Ovis aries: one gene and its partner. Each later gene encodes a partner of the first gene's protein in a complex. Links are inferred from orthologs where the notes say so. Each region holds a gene or a part of one and is shown in the gene's direction. Other genes may lie near its edges. The genes, in order: STAP1 and LAT2.

Region 1 (10,299 bases):
TTCAAGAAATTGGATAATAAAGTATTTTAGAGACCCTTAAATATTGTAAAAATGTGCATCCATTCACTTTAATTGTATTATAACATAGATGACTTATAGATAACAAAGAATATTAAAATATTGGTTTTATATGAGTTAATCCATAAAGTTCACTCAAAGCTGTTGAGTTATATTTTTCATATATCCTGATCTAAAACAAATTCCTGTGATGAAGATGCTGATGATGACTATACAAGTTGGATTTTGAATATTTTCAAGAGTTTTATAATAATATAATTGTTATGTTTGTGCATGTGCTTAGTTGATCAGTTGTGTTCAACTCTTTGTGACCCCACTGACTGTAGCCTGCCAGGCTCCATGGAATTTTCCAGGCAAGAATACTAGAGTGGGTTGCCATTTCTTACTCCAGGGGATCTTCCCAACTCAGGGATTGAACCTGTGTCTCTTGCATCTCCTGCATTGGCAGGCGGATTCTTTACCAACTCTGCCACCTGGGAAGTCCATGATTGTTATACAAGGCAACAAAACAATCATACAACAACCAATGTTCACACATATCAGAAAAAAAAGAAATTCCTGTCATAGTGGGGGCTAAGAACTAGAATCACAATATTGTTTTCAGCTGGAAAATTTTAATAAATAGTTATGGTTACCACAATCTATAATACTTCTTATTGGCCTTGACTTCAAAACAATCCCTGTATTTGAAAAACTCAGTGTCCTGTTCATACAGAGGCTATATAAGTAACTAAAATATAATGGAACAAATACTATAATTACAAATTCATAAAATGCTATGGGAATGCAGGATGAGAGAGACAAATGTTCCTTTTGAGGATGCGGAAGGATTCAGAAGATCTTCACAACAAAGATATACTCAATATGGGTCTTCAAGGACAAGTAGGGAGTTGTATTAGCAAGAGGGCAGAAGGGCACCAAAGCAAAGTGTACAGTGATTGGAAAGGTATGAGGAGAGGGGAAAGACCATGAGTATTAAGACAACTGGGAGTAAGCAAAGTTTCTAGAAGAGAGAGTATTTTTAAGGAGTAGATTTAAAAGGGTTAGGAATGACCTTGTGATGTTTGAACATTTTGTTGGTGCTCAATTAATATTTACTGCTGATGAAAAAGATAAAAGAATGAATCTGAAGGACTGAGAATTCATAAAATGTTTGAAGCAGGGAAATGACTGGCTTATACTGCATTTTAAATGGATCAGAGAGGCAAAGAGTGGAAAACAGGAGGATGCTAGAAAGAAGCCAACCCACTCCAGTACTCTTGCCTGGCAAATCCCATGGATGGAGGAGCCTGGTAGGCTGCAGTCCATGGGGTCACTAAAAGTCAGACACGACTGAGCAACTTCACTTTCACTTTTCACTTTCATGCATTGGAGAAGGAAATGGCAACCCACTACAGTGTTCTTGCCTAGAGAATCCCAGCGATGGGGGAGCCTGGAGGGCTACTGTCTATGGGGTCGCACAGAGTCGGACACAACTGAAGCGACCTAGCAGCAGCAGCAGCAGCAGAAGGAAGCCGGGGCTTCCCAGGTGGCAGTAGTGGTAAAGAATCTGATTGGCTATGCAGGAACTTAAGAGATATGGGTTCCATCCCTGGGTCAGGAAGATCCTCTGGAGAAGGGCATGGCAAGAACCTGGTCGGCTATAGTCTATGGGGTTGTACAGAGTCAGATGCAACTGAAGCGACTTGGCATGCATGCAGAAAGCAGCCTGTTGCAGCTCTTAAGGCAAGAAATGAGGAAGCTGTTATCCCAGAGAAGTGAACTGGTTTGTTCAAGGTCTGGAGCTGGTTAGCAGCAAAACTGGCTTCTCTCCCTCTGCTTCAACACTTTTTCTTACCTACAAATTTATTATTCACCACCTAAAACTTGCAATATCTGTAAGAGGATTTCTATTGTAATGGTGCAGTGGTATAATGATGTTGAAAGTCATGGACAGGTCCAACTAGATAATAATATTTCAACAGGAGTTTTGCATTTTGTCAGTTTGGGGGGATATAATTTGAGCATTGTTATATTAAGGATCAATTTTACTTGCAAGCTGGCAAATCAAAGAAACTTACAGAAGCTGTTGAACTGGTTTCTGTAGTTTATTTTTTAAGTTAAGAAAGACATAATTAACTAGACAATTATTTCTCAAATATATTCCTATCTTTACATTTTTCTAGAGATATTCTTTCTCCCATGAAACTCTCTGGCCATAAGGCCAGTGACTACTTTTCTTCTATTCCAACCATTGATGATTACCACTCAAATCACTTCCTTAGTATACTGAAACTAAAAATTAATTATGGCTTTGTCTCAAAAAATGTATTTGGACTTATATTTTATCATTTAAAGTTTGGGGTAGCAAGAAATAGGTCTCAATATAAAGGCAAGGCAGTAATTCTGAATCTTCATCTCCCAATTTCAGTTTCAAGCTGTATTGAGGTCCTTTAATGGACCGGAACTTGGTGGTCTAGAGTCTACCGATAAGAAAGTAAAGGAGAGAGAAAGAGGCTGATATTCCTTGGTTTACGCAGAAAGCCAATAAAGCACCTGCACGGGGCTTGCTCTATTCATGAAAGCCTCAGGCACTCTCTCGATGGGGTGAAGGCACAGAGCGCCTTCTTGAGAGGGTCTTAGAAGCCCAGGCAGGAAAGTGAACTCAGAGAGCCTCTGTGCTCCAGGGGATCAGCCTGAAAAAGAGAGAGAAGGGAGAGAGAGAGAGAGAAAGAAAGACACGGGGACCAGAGCTCTGATGGAGCAAAGGTGTTTTAATCAACATGGTCTGGGCATATATACTGTCTTACAAGGTAGTTATTCTAAGCAAAGATAAAGATTAAAATTCCAGACTTACAAAACATAGGTGATCCATATATATAGAGAGAGTTGTAAACAATCACTTTTACCGTATGGTTCACAAGAAGGAAGAGGGTACATATCCCTATATAGAAAAAGTAATGAAAGAAATGCCTGGACTCCTCAGCCCCCAGGAGAGGCTTGCCTCTCCTCTTGATTCCTGAGTATTCAGTAATTAATAAGGAACAGAGAATTCCTGACAGATCCAAAACAGCACACAGGAAGCCTCCTGTTAAATGCTTCCTGACAAAGCTGTTTTCATTTTCATAATGTATCTGAACACTCTTTAGTTTACTGATAATCAGTCTGTATTGCTCCGCCTGAGAAGAACTTATTTGTAATTCTATGCAATTGCAATGAGTTTCTCTATAGAATTCCTTTCTCCATAGAACTTCTGTCACAATTAATCTTCAGACATTTCCTCTAGATGCTCAGTCACCTGAGAATACTTTGTGGCCCAAAGGAACAAATGTCCTTTTTTTCTTTGAAGCTGAATAATTCAGTTTCTCATTTCACTAGAAATATTTTATTCAGACTATATATCAAGTTTTTTTTTAACTTAAGCCAAATTTAACAGAAATCTAACCACTCATATTTCCTTGGGCCTCCTCCCCAGATTCCCCTAGATCTCGACTTTAGGAAATGCACTAGTGCCCCTAAGACTCCGAGTCTTGAATAAAAATAGCTCAAATAAAATTTTCAGGCTTATGACTTAAAAGCAATGAGATCCAGATAACAGGAGAACTCACTGTTCTGAGGAGTACTAAGAAGCCAGTGGGGCTCAGTGGACTCATACTCGTGTGGAGTGCCAGTCAGGGAAGATTCCAGGCATCTTCTTGTGGGTTATCGCTTGTATGTTGCCAACTACACCATGCATGTGAATGAAAAAGTTAATCAATAGTACATCTAAGAAAGAAATGGAAAACTTTATTCAAGCCAACCTGAGGATTATAACCTTGGGAACAACCTTTCAGATAGTTCTAAGGATTGTTCTGCTTATTAGAGATCAAAACACCATCATAAAAGTTTTTGAGACAAAGAGTTTTAGGTCAAAAACATATTGACAGTTTACACATGCCACTACAAAGCAAGTGGTGGGTCATCACACCTCCTTACCAGATTGAGAAGGAAGGTTATCTCCCAGGAAGGCCTGATTAATGCAGATACACAATACTGAACCCACTGAAGGGGAGAGAAGAGGCCCAAGTGGGAAGAGAAACATTTTATGTTTAAATTTTTCTTGTCTGGCTATAAAATAGGAATTTTATTTCATCATACCTCATTTTGTAGACAGTCTGGTTCCTCACACCTACAGCTGAAGATCCAATAGAACCATACTGGTGGGGAAAACCACATGGTCTTTCCATTAGGAAAGGAGGCTCAGATTGTAGATTCCTGTATTGCTTTGACTGATGAGAATAGGCTAGTCTAACAGGGAAGAATGCTCAGGGCTGCATTCTAGACCTCAAGCAACTCTGTAATAATGCTAAGCGTGAAATAGCAAATGGTGGAACCTTTCAAGACCCCTGCAAAACAAACCAGATTTCCTTCTGTGTTCCTCTCTCCCATCATTCTTTGCACAGTGCTGTACCAAATCCAGTCTCTCAAGGAGCATTTTCCACAAACAAATAATTAATGCATTTGGGCCTCAGTGTAGCTCTATAAATCTTACTAGGTAGCCATACCTCATCTATGCATCATAGCACCAGTGATCCTCTGCTTAGAAAGAAAAAAGAACAAAATATAAGCTTGAAAATTTACAGCTTTCTCTTCCAGACATATTTTGCCAAATATCCACTGGTAAATGACCAACTCAAAATACTGATTAACAAAGAAGTAAAAAATATCACATTCCCATAACTGCCGTTTACATTTAGTGAACCATCAAAATGGGCATGGGATAAATAGCACCATTTTTCTAATAATTTAAACAAAGTTCAGTTCTGAAATGCAGTCCTCCCTTGCTATCAGTAGGTGATCAGTTCCAGGACCCCCACAGATACCAAAATCCTTGAATGCTCAAGTTTCTTATATAAAATAGCAGAGCATTTGCATATAACCTACAAAATCCTCTTGTATACTTTATATCATCTCAGTTATTTATTATACTTAATACAATATATGAAAAGTTTTCAAAACATGGGAAATTCAAGTTTTGCCTTTTGGAAGTTTCTGAATTTTTTTTCTAAAATTTTCTATGTATAGTCAATTCAATCCATGTAGAATCTGGATAGAAGACCAGCTGTACCTAAAACAGAAATAGTATTAATATAGTTATCCTATTAAGTAATTTTTAATGAAGTGGAACTAATTCAAGTCATGTCTTCTCAGGACAAAACCGGGCAGCAACAAACAAAAAAGGTGGGAGAAAACAAACATGACCTTGATGTCTCCTTGAAAGTCCATAATCTCCACATCTGTTCTCTTCATCCTCTGGTGATATTACTTTTCTGTTTATTTTGCTATTGTAAGTCTAAACACATGTAGGTTCCTGAGAGATTACCCTATCAAAGTTGGTCTACGCCTGTTCTTTCTTACCTCACAAAAAATAAAGAAAAAAAAGTGTGCATGTGTGTCCTATTGGTGGTTTAAACTCTTAGCTGGGACTTCCTCTTTGAACAGTTGCCCTTTCCTCTCACACAAGGGAGATCTCATTTTGTCTGAAACTGGATAAAGTTGAAACTAACCGCACACCAACGAGAGGGTATGATGGCTAAGAAGCCCCCGAAACCAGCCCCTCGCAGGATCTTCCAAGAAAGGTCAAAGATTACTGCTCTACCCTTGTACTTTGAAGGTTTTTTATTAGTTAAGCGGTCAGAATACCAGGTAAGTCCACAGATGATCATATTAAACTAGAAGCTTCTGTCTTAATGTAAAATTTATTTTATGGTGACATGATGAAACAAGGGCCTTCTTGTTTCTGCTAAAATTGAACCTTCTTTCCTGAGGTAAGAAATATGATCCCAATTTGCATAATTTAAATACAACATATGGCTTGAACTCACATGTGCATATATATATTATGTATAATAATATAAGATTCTAATGTTGTCACTAATGTAAAAAAAATTCCTAAATTTCCAAAAAATGTATTTAAACATCACAGAAAAGTTTAGCTTAGAAGATAAAATGTTTGGTATATATTTTCTCTGCATGTACTACTATGCTTCCATGATGACATGTACTATTAAGATAAAATTATACTATTCCTGAAATTAAAACTTCTGCTCCTATTCTGTTTGATTGAAGTTTTTAAATAATGATCAAATTATTTTTTATGATAAACTTTTGAAAAAATTGAGACAATGATAAACTTGACAATGTTTAAGATTCTATATAGTTAGTTATATGTTCTAAGACACTTTCAAGATAGTGATTTTAAAAGATGATACTTAGGGTGCTCTATGGGTAGGTGTACGCTAAGCTACATAAATACATTCACTCTAAGAAAATTCACAAAGCACTCTGTATTTTTTTAAATGTAAAAATGAAAACATAATTAATTAAAATCAGTGCTTTTGAAATACTAATTGTGGATAATTTGAAATGAATAAGACATAAACACAGAAGTGTCTGTGACTAAAGAAAAAAGAAATAATTAACTTAGGTCAAATTTTATGAAATGTTAACATTAACTGAAGCTAGAAAAAAATTAGGTTTTTGAGAAATGCCTTAAGAAATGTTTAATAACAAAAATATATTTTCTGAGGATTTATTAATGCTTACAGAAAATTTGTGTATGTAAAAATATCTGTAGCAGCACAATCATATTTCTTGCATATATAATCAGATAATTTAATATTGGAGAGGAAAGACATGGTAATTTGTATTCTGTTATGGGTATTAACATGAATTAGTAATATCTGTCAGTTACATGCCAGGAAAGGGGAGTTGGGAAAAAGAAATGTTTAGACTATAATTTAAACTTGTCTATTTATTGAAATTTTTCCAAAGACTTTGTAATGACTGTTTCTGGTACTGGGTTCCCTTTAGTGTTTAAAAAGGGCATTCCATTGGTCTGGATAGTAGAAAAAACAAGGATTTTAGAGTGTCAGTAAAACATGTCTTTACCTAATGGTTTTGCCACTTATATCCTGTGATTTTATACACGTTACTTAATTTCCTTGAGACTAAATTTCCTCAACTATAAAATGGAGAGAATATGACTTACCTCTCAAGGTAGAATGCCTGGGATACAGTCAGTGCTTAATCAATTCATTCATTTAAGTGGTGTTTATTTTGTGTTTCCTATGCACCAAACATCACACTCAGTTTCAGAGAATATGAATAAAATACAAACCCCTACCTTCGTGAGGGTTAGGTTAGTCAGAAGTGATGACTCACTTCACTTACCCGAATGCCAGTCTAACTTTTCTTAGAAAGCATACTTTGAAATGGAAAGAATAAACTATAGGTGCAAAAGTTTTGGAGGAAATTAACTTATGCTTCCACTTGAATTCATAGTAAAGTATCTTTTACTTATACATCAGAGAGAAGAGAGCAAGAGAACGACAGTAATGTCTACTAACAAGGTGGTTTCAAGGATTAAAGGGATAACAAATATAAAACACCTGCCTCATACTAGAGATTAGATTCATTCTCCTTCTATTTTATTATCTATCACATTCTTATTAACATATGAAAATCAGTTTTTAATCCCGCTCAAAGAAGGGCCATGGTGATAATTAGATTGCTTGAAAACAGAAGCATCGAGAGAAAGTTAAGGAGAATACTAGGATTTCTAAACAAGTGGCAGCATAGTGCCAAAGAATTTTTGAAAGGGAGGTGAACCAAAGGTATATAGAAGGTCTTCTTTGACAGGGGCACTTTTAAGAATTAAGGAGATTTGCCCTTAAGAAAATGTGCCAACATATACCATTTTAACCACAATTCCAAGAGTTCCATGGATCCGAGGTCAAGAACCCATAAAAGTACATAATTTTTATGGTGAAAATGTGGGAAAATTTACTTAACCCACAACACTAGAATTCTGGATGATTAGATATATTAGATAATGAAAGCCATTGCTGCTGCTGCTGCTGCTGCTAAGTCGCTTTAGTCGTGTCTAACTCTGTGCGACCCCATAGATGGCAGCCCACCAGGCTCTCCCATCCCTGGGATCCTCCAGGCAAGAACACTGGAGTGGATTGCCATTTCCTTCTCCAATGCATGAAAGTGAAAAGTGAAAGTGAAGTCACTCAGTCGTGTCCGACTCCCAGCAACCCCATGGACTGCAGCCTACCAGGCTCCTCTGTCCATGGGATTTTCCAGGCAAGAGTACTGGAGTGGGTTGCCATTGCCTTCTCCGAATAAAAGCCATTAGGTGCTACAATGAGATATCCATGGCATTACAGCTTTTAGAAATGTACAAAATTCTTATTATGGGGGAACTATTTGAAAATAAGAGAGAATTTGGGCAACATCTCACAGTTTCTTCAAACTGTGATGTGTTCAAATTAAAACAATGATATGTAATATGTTTTATTAGCCTGAACATAGAATATGACCATTAAAATAGCTTCAAAGTAACATTTCTCTCACTAGTCCTCCAACTGCCACTAATTCATTTAGAAAAATTTTAGGACTTGGCTGTGCTGTCAAAAAGTTCTCTGTGCTAGTGCTTTCCAAATTTTTAAAGTAACACACTCCTTTCAAGAAAATATTTTGAACGTAGATCTCTAACATAAGAATATTAGTTTAGAAATTATGGTGTGCTCCTGCACTAAGTCCAAAAAATGACTGACTATATGCAAGAAAAGAATTAAGAAAGATGAAATAAATGAAATAGAGATATTCTAAAAGTTTCTTCCCCAATGAGATCATCTTACATGCTTCCGGGGTTTAGTGCCACGCTTTGTAGACTACTATACAACGGTCTTCCTTAAGCAAAGAACCTTTATTCACTCACAAGAGAAAAAAAGGAAGGAACTTTTTATTGGGGACAGGGGATAGAGAGGAACTTTACTGGATTTGCACTGTCACCTATTTTAGTAGTTACATCAACGAGAAAAGAGTCCTGGGTGCCAGGAGATGTATCAGTCCTCCTGTAGAACTTAGGCAATCCCTCATATCTTTTCATCTGTTTCCTGTTTTGTAAAATGGACAGTTACTCTCTTGTATAACTGAATGGGTTGCTGTGATGATCAAATGGACTATATATTTTCTTGAGGTGTTGACATGGGAGATATGTTAGGCTCTTAATGTCTTGTCTCTCTGGTCCTTATAATAATTTTTCTGGGTAGAAATAATTTTATCCACTTCAAGATGGGTGAATTGTTGCTCACAGAGTTTGTGTTCAAAGTGCCTCACCATAAAGAGCCCAGCTGGGATTTTATTGCAAAGCACTTGACATCATGCTGCTTTTCAAAAAAAAAATCCATTTATTGGGTTTTTCAAGATTGGGGATGTCTAATCACTAGATTCTTCATCACACTGAGCTCAACAGTAAGCTCAGTAGACTTTCAAAAACACTGCTTAATGAATGAAAATAATAGTCACATTAGACTCTAAATACAAGGTCATCTAATGATAATGAAGCTAGTGATAAATTCAAAAGGCCCATTTCAGTATTTTTTACTTCAGCAACTGAACACAAGTGACTGCTTAAAAATAAGACATCTTGTATTAAATGTATTTAATTCAAAAACAGGTCCTTCAAATTTAATTTTTAAAATATTTATGTTATCTCTGTAGATATAAATATATACCTATATGTTGGTCATTACAATTGATATTTATAGATGACTTAAATTATACTAGTTTCCAGGAGCACTTCTCAGAAACTAAATCAAGACTATGACCTGCAGTTCTCTGCATACCAAATGTAAATTAGAAGTATTCTTAGATTTGTGGCTATGGTTGGGTGTTCACAGAGCCCACTGATATTTATAATCTTCCTTTTCCTCCTGGCTGCCTTTTTCTCAACTCAGTGTCTTTTGTTCTTGCTTCTTCCCTCATTTAATAAACCCTCCTTTATCCTTTCTAAAAATCTATGTTTATTTATCAGTAATGCTCCCATGTTTCTTTCATTAACTCTGCAATTCATACCATTCTCTCATGCCTGAACACCTCTATAATTTTTCTCAGAAGCATAGATGCATGTATGCATATATATATAGAGGGAATGCAATACACTTTGACTGCTGTTACTGATTTTAGTTTTTCTATCTATGGTAGGTTAATACTGATGAGGCTAATTAAGAAGATTAACAGAGTGGTAGACTTTCATACAGGCTTTTCTCTTGTTTTCTTTTCCTCCAGGAATCATAAAATCGGGTTTGGCCTTGATCTTAGATGCCATACTTCAGTAAAACTACACAATCTGTGATTCAATTCTCTAACCAATATGCCTATGTTCCAAACTCCTCCCCACTTCCTCACCGCCATCATAGTTCCAAAATATCATGTATCCTTGACTTGCTCCTTGCATTAAGAGACTTCCTA
Region 2 (10,278 bases), on another chromosome or scaffold:
GGAAAAGACTTTGATGCTGGGAGGGATTGAGGGCAGGAGGAGAAGGGGACGACAGGATGAGATGGCTGGATGGCATCACTGACTATGGACGTGAGTCTGAGTGAACTCTGGGAGTTGGTGATGGACAGGGAGGCCTGGCGTGCTGCAATTCATGGGGTCGCAGAGAGTCGGACACGACTGAGCAACTGAACTGAACTGAATAGGCTTAAAAACACAACTAGTATCTAAGAGTTTTCCTTTTGCAGTTTTTTGTCATGAGAATGAGTCAGAATAGTGAAAGACTGTTTATTTAATTATAACCTACAACTAATCTCTTCCCACATCTGTAACCACACTCTAACTGTAAAATATTAAATATACAAACAAAAGCATGCTCCTTTGCTGTGGTGGGCTCTTTGGTTTTCAGTTCAGGAACTTAGAGAAAATGTTTCCTATACCTGTTCACCGTGGGACAGAGGGCAATAAAATCATTACTGGCCTGGAAACTTATCTTTTCTAAGCGGGATAGGGAGGCAGGGAGATCAGAGATGCTTTCCAGGTCACCAAAGGGCTCTGTCAGTAGCACCAGGATTCCTCGGAATTACTCTTGAAATACAGAATATGCTTACCAGATTTTTTAAAGTAATGTTTCAAAATATAAATGAAGATGTTACAAACTAAAAACACATGAAGTATATGAAGATTTCCTGCAAATTGGTAAGAGAAAAAGAACTCAGTGGAAAACTAAGCAACAATGAACAGGCATTTCGCAGAAGAGGAAATAAAGTGCTCAACCTCAGTAGTCAAGGACCTGCATCAGGACTACAAAGAAAATACTATTTTACACCCATCCAAACAGCAAAGATCGAGAAGCCTGACAAACCAGTTGCTGCTAAGTTTGTGGGTCTTCACATGTTACAAATGAGAGTCACTGAGTACAGCCACTGTGGGAATTAATTTGAAATGAGCATTAGCCTGAAAATTGAATGGTCCCACACTCTAGCCCAGCGGTTCCTCTCCCAGAGATGCACCCAAGAGAAATAGCCCCACAGCTTGTGTTAATTTTATACACACACACACAAACCACTTTACAAATACCTATATCCAGAATAGAAAACAGTTTTTTAACTATGTATAGCACAGGGAACTATATTGAGTATCCTATGATGAACCATAATGGAAAAGGATTTTTTTTTCTTTTTTAGAAATGTGTATGTATAACTGAATCACTGCTGTATAGCAGAAAGTTATACAACACTGTAAGTCAACTATACTTCAATTTTTTAAAAGTACTTTGAAGGCTAAAAAAAATATGACAAAAACATCACTTAGTTATGAGGGAGGCAGAAGAATGAAGGAATATTCTTGGTTCTGCTGGGTAGTGAGCTTAGGACCAAAGAGAAATGTCATAAATGCCTGGGCGTGACGGGGGGCAAGAGTGATTCTTGTTTGCATCGTAAAGGTTGAGAGTGGCAGCAGCTTTATAGACAGACTCCAGGGGCTTCGAGAATGTTGTATATGCTTCTCAATGTGCATATATCTGAAGAAAGTCCATCACTTCCCATCAGCCTTGAAAGGATGCCCCAGAAGATTCTCAGGGTTAGAACTTAAGATCTTAGAACTGCTGTGTTACTACTTAGCTTGCTTCTGTAACAATTGTGCACACAACTGACACTCAGCTGTGAGCTGAAAAGCCGGACAGTCCTGTTTGGAGTGATGAAGACAAGATGGTGGTGATGGCTGTATGGAGCTGTGAATAATTAATGCCTCTGAGGTGCCCACTTAGAAGTGGGAAAAAATGGTAAATTTTATGTTACATGTATTTTGTCACAAAAAAAAATACCAGAAACCACTGAATTGAAAAAAGAGTTGGGGGCACTAGTATCTATATAACTGGACACAAAATGGCTATTGTGGAGAGGGGTTGAAATGTCTAGTTTTTTAAAGCTTATCTTCTAACTCACATCTGAATGATCTATAAATAGAACTTGGAGGAATTAGAATTGCCTACAAGGGGGCAGTGGAGCCTTCTGGATTCAGGAGTGGATTCAGATTGAGTGGCTCCTCCTCCCACTCAATTTCAAAAAGCGTCTTTGGGTTGAGAGACCCTTGTTTTTTATAGATGGAAAATGGGCTCAGAGAGGATCTTGGGTGCCACTGTGGACGGACCCTGAGACTTTGCTGGCAGTCAGCAGTCGACTCCGCATCCTCCATAAATAAGAAGGCCCTTGACAGAAGCCAGAATGTGAAGCAGAGCTCCATTCCCACTAGACACGTTGGACCTCCTGTCCATCTCTGCAGATAGAGAAACCTGGGCAAGCACACAGCCCAAGGTTGGATGGAAACCAACACAGACTTGTCCCAGTGGGTGAGGAGGGGCCAGGCAGGCGGTCCCAGCGAGCCCCTGAACCCATGAGTGGTGAAAAGACAACAGGCTTTGGGGTCTGGGTTGAAATCCAGCTTAGCCTCTCAGCCTTCAGCCAGCTTGCCTAAGAAAACGAAGGTCTTCTTGCAAGAGTTGCCAAGGGACTTACACATAGTGCTGCCCCCACATGGAATGAGGGAGGCACCCACGGTTCTCAGGCGCAGGTTTGGAACTCTGGTGAGGTTGGCTTTAGTCCTGCTGACCCCACTTGCAGGGGTGAGGACAACCAGCACTCGGGGCCCACGAGGTAGCCCAGGTCCCCACGCCACCCTTCTCCCCCACAGGGTGGCAGCAGTGAGCACCCAGCCCTGGCGGTTTTGGTCTTCCCACTGGGCCTCATTCCTAGCCTCACCTGGCAGGGCTGGACTGGGACCAGAAGAGAAACCCCGTCCCAGCAGAGAGGGGCCCAGAGCTGGGGAGCTCAGGCTCTGAGATGCCAGACAGATGGGGGGTTGAGGTGCGACCCCTGAGGGCTTCCCTGGGGCCCCTAGCAAGTGGGGTAAGAGTCCAGCGGCCTTGGGCACGTTGTTCAGTGACCACTCACAGGAGGTGCTGGGGGACCCAGCCACCTGTCCAGCACCTCCTCACCTCTACGGCCGGATGCTGGGGCAGCAAGTGGAGAGAGTGGCTGGCTCTGCACCTCTATGAGCCTCATCTGGAAAATGGGAGTAAGGGGGCCCCTGGGTCTGGAGGAGCGGCCATGCGTGTCCTTCCTTCTGCCCTTCACCTGGGGCTCCCTTCCTCTGGTGCCGGTGTCTGTCCACTCCGTCCATCTGTCTTTGCCTCTAGCCGTTCGTTACGTCTGCCCTGGCATGTGTCTCTGTGTGTTTGTGTGTCTGTGTTTCTCTTTCTCATTCTTTAGCACGTGTATCTCTTTCTTTGTGTGTGTGTGTGTGTGTGTCTCTCTCTGGTTTTCTTTGTGTGTGTGTGTTTTGGTGTGGGCGTGTATTTCTGTGTGTGTGTGTGTGTCTAGTGTGTCCGTGTCTCACTCTCTGGCTGCCTGTGTGTGTCTGTGTTTCTCATTCTTTAGCACGTGTATCTCTTTCTTTGTGTGTGTGTGTCTCTCTCTGGTTTTCTTTGTGTGTGTGTGTTTTGGTGTGGGCGTGTATTTCTGTGTGTGTGTGTGTCTAGTGTGTCCGTGTCTTACTCTCTGGCTGCCTGTGTGTGTCTGTGTTTCTTTCTCATTCTTTAGCACGTGTATCTCTTTCTTTGTGTGTGTGTGTGTGTCTCTCTCTCTCTGGTTTTCTTTGTGTGTGTGTGTTTTGGTGTGGGCGTGTATTTCTGTGTGTGTGTGTGTGTCTAGTGTGTCCGTGTCTCACTCTCTGGCTGCCTGTGTGTGTCTGTGCAAGCACCCCCATTTCATTCTTCACTGCCTTTCTCCTGTCTCTCTGTGTGTCTCTTCCTCCCTGAGATGGGGTTTCACGTGTGTGTATTCAGCGAGCATGTTGCGTGCGTTTGTGTTTCCACGTCTCTCTCTGTCTCTGGGTATCCCCGCCTCCGTCTATTGCAAGCAGGGCCTGTCCGGCAGAGCAGCGGATGTGTGAAGGCTGATTCAGTGGCTGACAGGAAGCCCGCCGCCCTGCCTGCTGCCCGCCAGTGTCTGTGGCGTTGGCATCGGCTCGTGCAGGTGTGCGTGCTCAGGATGAGGTGGCCACGGTGAGGAGGCCCCCCGCTTCAGGTAAGCCTTTCCCAGGGGTACCTGGAGCCTGGGCCTGAGGCCAGGGTCCTGAGGCTGCCCCCCGACACCCCAGGGGGATGGGAGAGGCCCTGTTGTCCTGGCAGGAGCATCTGGTTGCCCGTTGGGTGGGCCGGGAAGAAACCAGGACGCCCCACACCTCCTGTCCTGGTGCCCCCCGGCTAGGGGCCCCTTGCCCCAGCCCCTGCAGCACCCCAGGGGCAGTTGTTTCTGGGGCTCCGGCCCCTCTCCTGCCCTCGCCTTCCCCGGCCCAGCCTGCACAGCCCTGGGAAGCACCCAGGGTGGTCCCATCACTTCCAGAGACTGCTGAGGGGCCAGGACAGGGATCCCGGGGTGGGGGGGGCTCAGGAGCTTTGGTTTCTTCATCTGTAAAATGGGACTGTAACGACCCTGCTGCGGAGCTACGGGATGATGGGAGAGGCGCTCCAGGCGAGGAGGCCGAGGTCCTGCCCCAGGCCCGGAGGAAGAGCTGCCCCGGCCGCCCCCCCCCCAGCCCCCAGCCTGGCCACCAGGTGCCTGCCTTGGGGGCTGTTGAGAAGATACAGGCCCTGGGGTGCTCCCAGGGCTCTGCTCTGTCAATGGGAGGCCATGGCCTTCCCCTTCCCCTTCCCCTTCCCCTGCCCAGAACAGGAGCTTCCCTGGGGCCCTGCACCAGGCGCCTGAGCATCAGCCACCTCCATTAGAGACCTCTGGTGAGCCTCATCTGAAGGCCAAGGTTCTTTGGGGAAACAGAGCAAAGCCCAGCCGATAAAGCCTTCCAAGGGCTGGGATGGGAACCTCTTGACTCCATCCCTACCCCGCAGCCTGCCCTTTGGCCCCGGCAGGCCTCAGTTACCCCATCCACAGCAAGAGGAGGGCTGGGGGGCTGGGCAAGAGGGACGCCAAGGGCCTTTGGGGGCGGGAGGCTGGGTGCTGGGGCCGCTCAGCCCAACCCTGAGAGCTCTTCCGCCGTGGGCTTGTTGCAAACCTTGTTCATCTGAAAACTGCCCACTTCCCTTTCTGCTATTTTGGCCTGCAGGCCTGGGGCTGCGGTGGCCTCCTCTCCCCTCCCCACTCCACCCCGGGCGGCCTGGCCCCCGGGGGCCCTCCTGGCGCTGCGGGGGCCCAGCCCCTCTCCTTTCCCCCGCTGCCACCCCACCTGTTCTCAGACCTGGGTGGGAAAACAAGCAGAGAAGACAAGTTGAGTCCGTCTTGGTCTCGGGGAAGAGGCAGTCCTAGTTTCTTCCTCAAATGAATCTTTTTTTTTTTTTTTCCAAATGAATCTTTTAAAAACCATATTGTGTGAGTCTTTTTTAAAAATGTAATTTAAAAAAGGATTTACAGGAAGGAGTGTAGGCCTAGAGTCCACCTGCCCTGAGTACAGGTCTTGGCTCTGACTGCTCAGCTGTGTGACCTTGGGCAGAGTACTCACCTCTCTGGGCCGCCCTCTCCTCCCTTGGAGAAGAAAGGAGCCGACCTCTCCGAGGGGATGCCGTGTGGCTCTGTGACAACTGCGGGGCCGGGTGCAACAGCCACGCTCGCCTTCAGATCCCAGGGTCTCCCAGGGTCCCAGCACGACGCCCCTCCTGGGGCAGGCTCAGGCCTGTGTGTCTGGGGGAGCAGGCAGGGAGGGCTTCAGGCAGGGTTGCCCCATGCTGTCCAGTGCAGGCCAGCCAGCCAGGATGCAGCTAACCCCTTCCCATCCTGCGGGGACCGTGATGATGACAAGTCACGGTGGGCACAGCCAACTGTGCCCCACACCAGCCATCAGCAGCGCCTCCAGGTGTCATCTCAGCACTGGGCCTCCTATGACGAACCCGAGGGTTGTGTCATTTTTTCCCTCCATTAACAGGGTGACCGGTGGCATTGGAACTCAGCTGCTGGGGCAGAATTTGTGTTCTCATGCCCTGCCCCCTTCCCTCACACAGTGCCAGGCGGGGGGAAGATGGACCAGGGCTAGGAGCATGCCTGACTGTGGCTCATCCCAGAACAGCAGAGCCAGGAAGCAAGAGGGCTCTCTGGTGTTTGGGGGTCCTCGGGGAGGGAGGGCAGCAGAGCTCAGCAGCCCAGATCCTCGGGCCTTGAATGCCAAGCTGAGTATGTGGACTTGCCCCTGGGGTCTCAAGCAGACCCCAAGGGTGGCCAGTGCTGGACCCTTGTCCCACGGGAGTAACCCCCCGTGGGTCTACCCCCAAACCTCCTTGGGGGCAGAAAGAGCCTTCATCTCGACCCAAAGATAAACGTGTCAAGGGTGGGCACTCAAGGGAACTGTCCAAACCAGCTGGCCGGAAGTGTGACACTCAGCAAGTTTCTCTTCCTGAAACCCTGACTGTGGTCCAGGCTGGATGTGTGTGTACTCTCCACAACTGTTGGAGGAAGGCCCTGGTCGATCCCAGTTTTACAGATGAGCAAAGTGAGGCCAAGAGACCCTGAGATACAGGTAGGGGTCCCCCTGTCCAAGACCAGGGGCTCCCAACCTCACCAGCCCTGGATGGACTTGGGCCTTGGCTGGAGGCCCAAGAGGGAGGCGGCCCTGGACCAGAGGGAGGTCTGGGGAGGGTGGAGGGTATGCGGCCTGGGAAGACGGTGCCCCAGCTCCTAGAGGACGGGGAGCTGAGGTCCCCTGGAACAATATCCTGGGGGTGACCGGTCCATCCTCTCTCCTTATATGGAGGCCACTGGGTCCCAAGGTCTGGGAATGGTGGTGTTCCCACAGACTCACTTGGCATTTGCGGGAAGGAGAGGTAATTTCTGCATGACGGGCCGCTGACAGAGGCTGAGCCCTGCACGGAGATTTCCTGTCAGCTTTGAAACGGGGATTCAGGAAGCTTGGGGTGGTGAGCGGGGCCACAGGGTATGGTGCAGTCCTCTGGGGGAGCCAGAAAGAAGGAGGAGGCCTGCACAAAGCTCGGGTCTCCTTCAGCCTTGCCTCCCGCAGCTGTGAAGCGAGAAGCCTCCTCCCAGGTGGCCGAGGCGGGAGGCACAGGTGTTCACAGAGGGGATGCTCCATAGCATGGGGTCCACGTGCCCACCGTGGGGCACAGGCCCCGCAGGACCCCTGCTGTCCTCTGCCTACTGTCACTTTGCAAAGGAGGCTGAGTCTCTTTAGAGTTGCAACAAATCTCCCTGGAGGGCCCCTCAAGAGGGCTGAACTTGCACTCAGCAGGCCTTGCTAGGTGGCTGCCTGCAGCTTTGCTGAGGCCCCGAGGCTGGGACCAGCCACTGACCACAGAGTGGCCTCTTAACCCCATCTCCCAGTACATTCCTCTACCAGCCACCAAAGTCCCTCCGCCCAGGCGCCCTTCCCCCCTTCCTGGTCTCAGGCCCACCTCCTCCGAGAAGCCTCCCTGACCTTCCTCCCAGCTCCAAGGACAGGAGGAACCAGAGCATCTGGGTAGACAGGCATTTTAGGAATGGAAAACGCACCCCCAGCTTCCCCAGGAGGCCTTGGGTGGGAGCAGAGAATCACCCTAGGGTGGATGGGGGCTCTGGTGTAGAAGGGGCAGTGGACTCTGAGCTTGGGGAACAGCGCTGGGTTCGCAGGAGGTTTTATCACAGGATGAAAGAACAGAACAAGCATTAGGGTCTGGAGTCCTTGCATGCGTGCTGGGTCACTTCAGTCATGTCTGACTCCTTGCGAAACTGTGTGGACTGCAGCCCACCGGGCTTCTCTGTCCATGGGATTCTCCAGGCAAGAATACTGGAGTGAGCTGCCATGCCTTCCTCCAGGGGATCTTCCTGACTCAGGGATCGAACCCTCATCTCTTAAGTCTCCTGCACTGGCAGGCAGGTTCTTTACCACTAGCACCTCCTGGGAAGCCCCTAGGGTCTGGAGGCTGGCATTCAAATCCTGCCTTTCCCCTTTGCAGCTGTGGAATTTGAGGCTTCCGTTTCTCTGTTTGTGAAATGGCTCTAGCCTCCCCCTCGCGGGGTGGCTGGGTGGACTAAGCAAAGGTGTGCGTGGGAGTGTGCGCTTACAGGCAGGTTTCCAGAACCTTCCAGCACTTGATGATGGCCCTGGGGGACCTGAGGTGCAGGTCTGGGGTCAGATGAGCGGACAGGGCTGGTTCTGACCCGTCTGGTCCCAGAGCAGGGAGGGTAGGGGACGCTGGGCTGTCAGGGGACAGTTGGGGGAGGGTTCCTAGCAGGGGCAGCCCTGTGGCCCCCACCCTGGCTCACAGTGCCCCCTGTCGCAGCCCTGCAGGAAGAAGAGCGTCCCGGAGTGGACATGAGCACGGACACAGAACTGCTGTGGCCGGGGGCTGCTCTGCTGCTGCTGCTGGGGGCAGCAGCCGGCCTGTGTGTGCGCTGTTCCCGCCCAGGTAAAGCCTGGGGGTCGTGGACCTGTGGGAGGAGTGCGCGGTGTCCCCAGAGAGCCGCTCAGGCCCAGACCCGGCTGCTCGGAAGGGGCAGTCAGATAAGCCTGGGGGCGCAGAAGTGAAACCCAGGGACACGGCCCCTGATCGTTCTCTGAAGACCACGGGTCTGACTGAATGGGAGTGTTGGTTCTCCGGGGTCAAAGGCATCTGTCTGCGCATGGATTGTGCCGGACAAGGGAGGGGAGAGGGGGCTGGGCTGTCTGCCTTCACGGTCCACTCTCCTAAGTAAATGGTGAGCAAACCTCGCCAGGGTCAGGTGGCCCCCAGCGATGAGTGGCTCAGCCCCCATGTCTGGTCTGAGGCCTGCCCAGGGCAACAGGGGAGATGGTTGGGCCTCGATCTCAGCTCCCACCTGGCCCTGGGGGGCGGGATCAGGGAACTGGCTAATCTGGTCCTGCTCTTGCAGGTGCAAAGAAGTCTGAGAAAATCTATGAGCAGAGGAGTCTGTGAGTGTCTCCCCAGCCCAGTGATGCTGTGTGTCCTGCCTGGGCGGGGGCCGTCCCTGTGGGCCTCCCCTCAGGCACCTCGCCCCCACCCCTCACCCCTTCACTTTCACCTTCTCCATGCTGGGCTCCAGTGGGTCCTCAGCACTTAGGGGAGGGTGAGGGGGGAGGGTGAGGAGGTGCCCAGGGACCGCCCAAACCCTGCCCCAGACTAGTTGGGGAGGGTGGGAGGCACGCTCCAGTGAGCCCAGGAGCGTCTCCAGAAATCCCCGCCGTGACCCCACCCCAGTGGGAACTAGGCTGTGCTGGGGGGTTGACAGAGGAATCCCGCCCTCCCGTTGCAGGGACAGGGACCAGGGACCAGGTGCTGGGTCCGAGACAGCATGTGGGCATGAAACTTGGGGGGATCACGGAAGGCCTCCTGGAGGAGGCGGGAAGAATCTGAAGAGACAGAAGGGAAAAGGGGGACATTCCAGAGAGAGAGGGGACATTCCAGAGAGAGAGGGAACAGTGTGGGCAATCACTGACTTCAGGCCGGGGTGGACACTGCCTCGGGTTTGATGCAGCTGGAGTGAACATGTCTTGAGAGTAGTGAGCTGAATTCGGAGGAAGGAGAGTCTTGAACGTGGCCCGAGGCCTTGGCCTTTGTCCAAAGGGCCAAGGGGAGTCGCGGGAGAGCTGGAAGCAGGGCAGTGGTCAGGGGAGATGAAACATGAAATGCTGGCACTGACCCCAGAGCGTCAGGACCCTGGCAGGAGGGCTGCGGCCAGCGGTGTGCCGGTGGAGGGCTCCGAGACCTGCGTGCACACACGTGCACAGGCCTGCACGCCCACGCACACCCACTGGCTCCCCCAGCGCTCATTCATGCATGCACTTCTCACACACACACAGGGCCTGCTTGCACGCCTGGGCAGGCACTCACATACAAACTCGCTCACACACCCTCTTCTCATTTCCTTTTGCAACTGAAAAACCACAGTGAGATTTGAAAATAGAATTTTCCCATCCATGCCCACTCCAAGGGCTGGGGCCGGACCTTCCCAGCCTTTTGGGGTCCCGTGGTCCTCTGGCTCGCCAGCCCACAACCTCCACTGGGGGCGTGGACTGGACTACCCTGGTGCCCTCCCCACTGGCCACACCCCTGCCCCAAGCCAAGTTCCTCAAAATCTTCCCTCTCCCCTCCTCCCTTAGCCCCTGCCCACTCACTCCAGTCCCCCGATTAATCTTAGAACTGAAGATCTTCAGAGGCACAAGCTAAACCTCCCCATGTGGGAGGTGGAGAAAGAGGCCTGAGTGGGAGGAGATCAGAGGGGAGACTTGGGCTCTCCCCGCCTCACTTGGGTTCAGTCCTACCAGCCTGTGCCAGGCCCAGCTCCT

Evidence for each region.
Region 2: the proteins of STAP1 (region 1) and LAT2 are in contact, whole or in part, in a crystal structure (PDB 3MAZ), measured with the Homo sapiens proteins. The link is inferred for Ovis aries from reciprocal best matches to the Homo sapiens genes STAP1 and LAT2. Residues at the interface, in NP_001304698.1 of Homo sapiens: Arg184, Arg203, Pro204, Gly205, Ser206, Ser212, Ile215, Gln217, Ile219, Lys225, His226, Tyr227, Lys228, Glu239, Leu240, Glu241, Tyr255, Phe256, Glu259, Thr260, Arg261, Asn263, Leu264; in NP_054865.2 of Homo sapiens: Asn134, Ser135, Tyr136, Glu137, Asn138, Val139, Leu140, Ile141, Lys143.

What each region holds. Positions count from the first base shown.
Region 1 is NC_056059.1:84,107,814-84,118,112, forward strand, and holds the start of STAP1 (signal-transducing adaptor protein 1), read left to right. Parts: upstream 1-5,472; 5' UTR 5,473-5,562; coding exon 5,563-5,682; exon of another isoform or gene 5,683-10,299. Other genes in the region: CENPC (centromere protein C), read right to left, coding at 3,606-3,650. UniProt on the Homo sapiens protein: In BCR signaling, appears to function as a docking protein acting downstream of TEC and participates in a positive feedback loop by increasing the activity of TEC.
Region 2 is NC_056077.1:33,642,110-33,652,387, reverse strand, and holds the start of LAT2 (linker for activation of T-cells family member 2), read left to right. Parts: upstream 1-3,932; 5' UTR 3,933-4,082; intron 4,083-6,419; 5' UTR 6,420-6,483; coding exon 6,484-6,519; intron 6,520-8,275; exon of another isoform or gene 8,276-8,283; coding exon 8,284-8,401; intron 8,402-8,864; coding exon 8,865-8,904; intron 8,905-10,278. UniProt on the Homo sapiens protein: Involved in FCER1 (high affinity immunoglobulin epsilon receptor)-mediated signaling in mast cells.